Linked DNA regions of Tribolium castaneum. The protein of the gene in region 1 interacts with the protein of each later gene in a pairwise test. Links are inferred from orthologs where the notes say so. Each region holds a gene or a part of one and is shown on either strand. Other genes may lie near its edges.

The links.
Region 2: the proteins of uncharacterized protein LOC655683 (region 1) and Dph3 interact in binary tests that used the Homo sapiens proteins (3 or more experiments, as listed by UniProt). The link is inferred for Tribolium castaneum from reciprocal best matches to the Homo sapiens genes SERGEF and DPH3.

The regions. Positions count from the first base shown.
Region 1 is NC_087398.1:4,656,900-4,661,254, reverse strand, and holds uncharacterized protein LOC655683, read right to left. Parts: upstream 3,093-4,355; 5' UTR 2,657-3,092; coding exon 2,639-2,656; intron 2,587-2,638; coding exon 2,161-2,586; intron 1,172-2,160; coding exon 521-1,171; 3' UTR 412-520; downstream 1-411. Other genes in the region: Fam92 (CBY1-interacting BAR domain-containing protein 1), read right to left, coding at 292-323; NADH-quinone oxidoreductase subunit B 2-like, read left to right, coding at 3,196-3,665, 3,709-3,853. UniProt on the Homo sapiens protein: Probable guanine nucleotide exchange factor (GEF), which may be involved in the secretion process.
Region 2 is NC_087396.1:11,845,226-11,848,445, forward strand, and holds Dph3 (diphthamide biosynthesis protein 3), read left to right. Parts: upstream 1-1,692; 5' UTR 1,693-1,937; coding exon 1,938-2,045; intron 2,046-2,091; coding exon 2,092-2,166; intron 2,167-2,213; coding exon 2,214-2,285; 3' UTR 2,286-2,657; downstream 2,658-3,220.

The DNA.
Region 1 (4,355 bases):
TAATGAATAAATAACCTCCCAAGCCGATTTTCTTGTAAAATTGCAATCTCAATTTAAGATAAACGAGATAAAGTTATTTTGGTACGTTTGTTTAGTGTTTTTGATATCAAATTCAAGTACTTTGACTTCCGATTACTCAACTCGTCTCAGTCAAACTAATTGTGAACCAATTGACTGTCTTTGTCTAGCTGACTTAAGGAGAATTTAAACTGATTATTACGATAAATTGCGCTTCAAAACAAATTTGCACAAATATTTATCTTGAAAAATTGTAAAGTAATAAATATTTACCAATTATTCCGCGCCCGGAACGTGTTCAACATTATTGTTGAATTGTTTTTATTTGCGTTTCTAAGGGCAACCACTCACAAACAAACGGTTGTGCCAACATGGCTAAATAAAACGCCGTCATGGAATCATGCAACACATTTTTATTATAAAAATACGGAATACAATAATTCAATTAATAATAATTCTTTATAAAAATACTTATGCACATCAAAAAGAGAATTAATTATTGCTATTCGACAACAGCGAAAGAACTACCGGTACAAGCAAAAGCCGCCTTGACTTTTCTATTAGCGAAAATCTGCGTGGGCTTGCAGACGTCGGTTTTATCACCGGTTCCGCAGCTCCCGTGCTCATTCCACCCCCAAACGAACAATTTCCCATCTTTGGTAACGGCTAGATTATGTTCGGAGCCGACGCTCAACTGTGTGACGTCCTTAAGTCCGGGGATCTTCTCCGGCTTGTAGGTGACCTCCCTCTGGGCCCCCAACTGGCCGTAGCTGTTGCGCCCCCAGGTGAAGACCTCGCCCGACTTGGAGAGGGCCGCCGTGTGTGTCCAGCCCGCGTACACGGAGCCGAGATTGGCGTCATGGAGGATCTCCATCGGGACGAAACTGTTCGAGATGTTGGGGTCAATGCCCAACTGCCCGTACTTGTTCTCGCCCCAGCTGTACACGGTGCCGTCCTCCTTCAGGACCACGGTGTGGTGCTGGCCACTCGCTATGCTCACTATGTCCTCTAAGTCCGGAACTTTGGATATACTCAGGTAGTTGTTGTCATCAAAGTTATCGCCAAGGCCCAGCTGGCCCTTGCTGCCCGTGCCTGCGACTAGAAGACCACCGTCCTTGTTGAGCATCGCTGAGTGGCGCAGCCCGCAGCTGACCTGCACACACATTGCCCCCGTTTAGACTACCCTGTGAGGGTGACCAGACACAAAATTTTGCCCGGACAAAAATTGATTTTTACAGCAAAATAAATTTTGTAACTATTGTTACTATCAAATTTTGTTGATCACTTCGGCGCAAATTTAAGGAATAAAAACTGAAATTTCATATTTTTTCAACGTTATCAGGTTATTACTTAACATGTATTAAAATAAATTGTGGACCAAGTAGAGCAGCAAATCGTTCGCAAATACGAAATATGGTTTCATCTCTATTTCTTAAGATAGCCATTGAAAGTTATCAAATGAAAAAAGTCTTCTCCATATCTTTAGAGGACGATTATTGATATAAAAACAGGATTTGGACTTATCTGCAAATCGTGAAATTGTATTCGAGCAAATTCTAGCAGAGCTACCGTTAAAAAAGGGCCAATGGTATCTGTAGCATGCTGACGGTCATTTTTTAATTTTTTTGCAGAACAAAAACGTTTTTTTTTAAATAATGCGTAAAAGTCGGTCTTCGGCATTTACTGTTTTTTGCTGTAACGTCGTCAAGCTCTTGTAACTATTGACTTCTTTTTGAGAAAATCCTGCTCCAATAAAAGTCACCGTTTGGCGACTTTCGTACCAATGTATATGTTTCACTGTTTTCTTTCGTACTTTAAGAGATGTTAAGTGACCGAGAATTACGAGATATTGATTTTTTGTTTATCTGTTCCGTTTATTTTTATTTACGTAGATAAGAAATCACGATTTTTTTGCATTATACTTGCCTGACTAATCTTTGGGTAATTTTTTACTTACAAAGACAAGAATTAAAAAAAGACTAGAAGCATTAGAATTAAAAGTCGCGATTGTCTTGGACGCGCGGTAAGGTCGCCGGACCTTGCATAAGTAAACGATTTTTGGGTTTTCTTTTATTAGAATGGTGGGATATTTATTATTATTATTAAGACAAATCTGGTCACCCTAACCCTGTGGAACCTTACCTGTTTGAAGCCAGTGGCCAGCTTCTGGGACACCTGCAGCCGCGACGGGATCCCCGTGCAGGTGATGCTTTTAGAGAGCCCCAGCTGGGTGTAGGAGTTGTTCCCCCAGACAAACTGCTTGCCGCATTCGGACACCGCGGCGCTGAAATCCCAGCCGCATGAAATCTGAACTATCCGAAAGCCTTTCAGAATTTCAATCTGGGTGATTTTCAGAGTATCATCGCTGGTGCCCAACTGGCCCTTGGAGTTCCACCCGCAACAATAGACGAACCCATTTTTGTCTAAAATTAAAGTGTGGCCCGCGCCGCCGGCTATGGCAACGATATTATCGGCCACCAGGTCGGTGTCGCCGAGGTTCACCTCTTTGGGAGACACCTCCTCGTCGGACTTGTGTCCCAAGCCCAGCTGGCCGTAGCTGTTCGCGCCCTGGAATCGCCCGGTCAAAACCACCCCCGCCAACAATCAAGCGCCCACTTACCCAACTGTACAAAATCATCTCGAGCTGTTAAGTCGGATGGCCGTATTTGCGTCGCCAAATGGTAAATTATTCAAACACGCGTCCTCTCTCTGCCTAATTGAGGTTATGTTCGCCAATCTTAATAATAAAAAATACACTACACCGACTGCGCTTCGAGTGAATTACGCACACGTCACCACAGCTTTGTATCACAGTCGCCGGGCGACAGACGGAGATGGAGCGATTCGAATGTTGCTAGCGAGATGCGGTAACAAGTTCCTCGGGTTTTTTTGGTGGTATTGGTACGGAATGACACCAAACTCGATGCATGGATCACTTCTTAACAATAAAGCACGGTTTTTGGTGAAGACTCGAAACGAGGGATTTGCACACTCGACAAAACGCAAAAAAATGCTTACTATAATCGGTCATTGGCCAACATAATGGACACGATTGGATTTAGACAGTTGTCTCCATCTCTCTCCACACCACCATCGCCGCTATCGAATCTCTCTCTCACACACTAAAACTAAACACTGCCACCAATCACACACCACAATTCCCCACACGTTTTGAAAATGGGCGCATTTTCCAAAAACGTCATGTCACAATTTAAAAGACTTCCATTCCAGCTATTTAGAAACAAGTTTTTCCACCCCATCAGGTGCGAGTCCACCTGTCCCGAACGCCGTCCGTACTCGCCCTTCCGCCCTAAAAACCAAACCGAATGGGTGTTAGCCCGTCTGGACGATTTGCTGAACTGGGGCCGGAAAACCTCAATGTGGCCCCTTACCTTCGGTTTGGCATGCTGTGCTATCGAAATGATGCACATTGCAGCCCCGCGATACGACATGGACCGGTACGGCGTCGTTTTTAGGGCTTCGCCCCGCCAAACGGAAGTCATAATTGTGGCGGGAACCGTCACCAATAAAATGGCGGCAAGTTTGAGAAAAGTCTACGATCAAATGCCCGAACCCAGATGGGTCATTTCAATGGGCAGTTGTGCCAATGGGGGCGGGTATTATCACTATTCCTATTCCGTGGTCAGGTATGCTTATAGGAAACTAAATTACGAATTAACGGTTCAATAGGGGCTGTAACCGGATTATTCCGGTCGATATTTACGTCCCGGGGTGTCCCCCAACCGCTGAGGCGCTCATGTATGGGATTTTGCAGCTTCAGAAGAAGGTCAATCGCCACAATGCGATACAGAAATGGTTTGTTAATCGTTTCTGACTTAAATAAAATAATATTGATTCCCAATAACCTGACATTTTATTTAATTACCCCCTTGATAAAAATTTAATTGCGCCGTCTATGGTTAGTACGCAATGTCGGTGAAGACAGCATCAAAAGTGGTGACCTGATCTGACCTGACAATTCTAATGTGATTCTATTACAAAGGACAGGAGGAAAATAGTGAAAATAATGAATGAGTTTTGCAAAATGCTTTTATAGAAAAGTTGTACTTTATGTTTTATTATGTGGTAAACTTAACACACCTTAAAACACGCCCTTTATAAACGATTAAACGCCCTTTTTCATCAAAATGTTTAACACGAAAAGTTCATTTTTGCCCTATATACATTTCAATAAATCACACTAAAGTTTATGTCGTTGACTCAAAGGTAGATTTATCTACCCATAACATATTCAATAATAGTTAATAACACTCTAAAAGAGCAGAAACGGACACAAAATCCATAAATGTTAAAATTTTTACGTTTCAGCTGATAAC
Region 2 (3,220 bases), on another chromosome or scaffold:
ACAAAAGGTATTTTCCCTTTATTAGGATGTGCTCTTACGTACTTTACCTTTACCTTTACCTTTTGCCGCATTATTTTGTTATTTTTGTCACTTTTATGCTCCGCTTTACTTTTATACGTTTATGTGTTCTCTCAATCTCTTATTTTTGCTTACGTGTTGTTTCACTTACCTTTTCTTCACTTTTTTTCATAGAAAAATTGTTACACCTGATCCGGGTACTGACCGTCTTTTGCAGACATTTTAACACAAACTTTTTAAATAAATCAACATTACAAACTATGCAGGGTGGTCCAGGAGTAATCAGATATTTTATGCATTTTATTTACGAGTACGATTATGATGATTGATTATGATTACACACATTCTATAAATTGTAGTAGGTTTAAAACTCTATTTTAATTCAGCATAATAATAAGCCTTTTAAATATTACGAGTACACTAACTTGCTCATATTGTTTTGCAGTTTATTAAGTACTTCTCTATAAAAAAGATTCGAATGAACGCGGTTTTTCCTTTATAAATCACTTTATGTTGTAACAAAAAGTTTCAGCGTTATCGGATTTCAATTAATTTTAAAACGCTTAATGACGATGCATTCTGAAACTAGTCGGTTATATTTTAACAGAACGTTTGACTTTTGGCCTGTTCTAAACATAAAATCAACGGCTGAAATTAAACATGATTAACGAGCAGCAGACTTGTCAAAATCAGATGCGCTACCATTCTACGCTCAATGCCCCAATAATAAAAACCAAAGGCGTAGTCATTGGGAAAATACTCAAAAATAAAATGTTTTGATTTAACCTTGATTCGTAAACAAATTAATTCTTATTTTGATTCAGTAGTGCGTTGATTTTATCCCCGAACGATTATAAGAACGCTCTGTTCACCTGAACACGATTCAAATTTCACGAACTGAACAAATAAAATCGTCTCTATGCATTATAAATATTTTTTTCAAAAATCACTATTTTCCTCCCTCGTGGATGGATATACTTTATGATATTAGCGTAGTCCCGGAAAAAAAGATGACTTTTTAATGCTTTCCGCTCGCGTAGGAAAGAAGCCTTTTGAAGGTAAGTAAAATAGGAATAGGTACGTTACGTACACCGTACACGTACTGGTAAATAAGGTATCTATACTTTTACATTAAACAAAAAAGGGTGCAACCGCTCGGATTGCTCTGATCCCATGCTCACACATAAAAGCGCGAGTGAACGATCATCGATGACGACTCAGATATTGAAAAATATCTCTGCATCTGCCTCACGCTCAGGAATCAGAACTACGACTCATCATCGTGGTTGCGTCAACTCTACGTTTGAGTGTAGAGTATGTGAAGATATACTACAGAAATGATCCTGTGAAGTATGATCTTGATGAAACAATCTTTAGGACTTGTATTTGTACCAACACGTACGACAAGTAAGCGTGAGGACTACTGTTACTGCCATCTTACGGACGCTCTGTAAATTGTCCGACAGTATAAATTAAATTATATTTTGAATTGTATGTTGTTTTGAATACCTTGTAATCAGTGGAATTAAGAAACACCATGTCTTGTCTTTAAAATAATTACAATTACTGTTATCAATTATTATCAAAAGTAGCTAATACAGACTCGGCTGAAGTGCAGGACTTGAGAAAATTTACCCATCAGTCCTCGGTAGTATAGTGGTCAGTATCCCCGCCTGTCACGCGGGAGACCGGGGTTCGATTCCCCGCCGGGGAGACTTTTTTTAATTAAATTTTAACTATTTTACTTAAGATAATAATAAAACAACCCAACAGTGATTCTCCACAATCTCGAATTTAATGCGTATTATTGTTGCCCCTCAAAAAATTAAACGTCACGTCACATCACTCCACACATAACCACAATCTGTCACATGGTTTGGAACCTTAGAAAATTTTAAAATTCAGCCACAAATAAAGTAATGACTGTTTTTCACGACGAAATAGAAATCGAGGATTTCGAATACGACGAAGAGGAAGAAGTTTACTATTACCCTTGCCTATGCGACGATAGGTTCCAAATATCCAAAGTGAGTGCCTTGGCCTAACCTCATTATATTTACTATCAATTTTAAGGAAGAATTGCTCGCGGGCGAAGAAGTAGCGAATTGTCTGAGCTGTTCCTTGGTGGTTAAAGTAATTTACGACAAGGTAAAAAATAGCTTGTGAGGCATTAACCCCAAAAACCCTTATTGCAGGAGACGTTTCAGGAGCAAAATGAAGTCAAAAAACTAACCGAAGATTTGAAAAAATTAGAAGTGACTAAATAAAATGAGCGGTCGAGGCGGGCGAGGGGGCCGCGGCGGTCGCGGGGGGATCAGTAAATCATTCAATAGGGAGCAATTGAGTGCTATGGGGGTTGTCGGTAACGAGGTTTTGCCGGGACCTGTCACGCAACCGCCCCCTCTTTACCCGATTTTAGACCGGAGCTCGATTCCATCGCCACAATTGTGCATACAACTAAAATAATCTCAAAACTGGACCAATTCAACTAAATATTGCACCAACAAACACAAATCAATAGGAAAAATACAACTAATTGACATACTTTGGCCATTCCTACTTAGTAAAATACACATCAATTCTACTAACACAATAAATTAGACATCACATTGTTAATAAAATTATAACTAAAAACCAAAGAGGATTCATTTGAGTACGTACTTGGAGATCAGAGTCACTGCAGAAAAATATTCACCTACTCCTCTTTGATCCTTGATTATTAACTAGGAAGGACAGCTTGTGTCCTGTGATACCCTGTGCTAGGATGGAAGACTTTATAGTACAGCAACATGAACGTCAGTCCCGCAAAAAACGGAATAACGTTCAAATACACAATAGGTGTATAATAAATCTGTTTCTGCAGAGTAGTATCAGCATTACAGTACCACACAACATTAGCTATCGTATTTTCTACAAACAGCACGACGTAAAAGAAAACATATTTCAGAAAAGTCGGGCCTTCGACTAACGTAACTGGCGTGAAAATATACACAGTACCAAAAATTGAGTAGAAAAACATGTCATAGACCTTGTTATGTTTACAAAAATTATTTTTTTGGTTCGTACAAGACAGCCACATTGTCATCACGAACCAGTGGAGAACAATCACCAGAATCGTAGGCACCAAGTACTTGGATGCTATCACACTGATACACAGGATCCTTGAAACTAAAAAAAAACAATTAAAACAATAATTACGGAC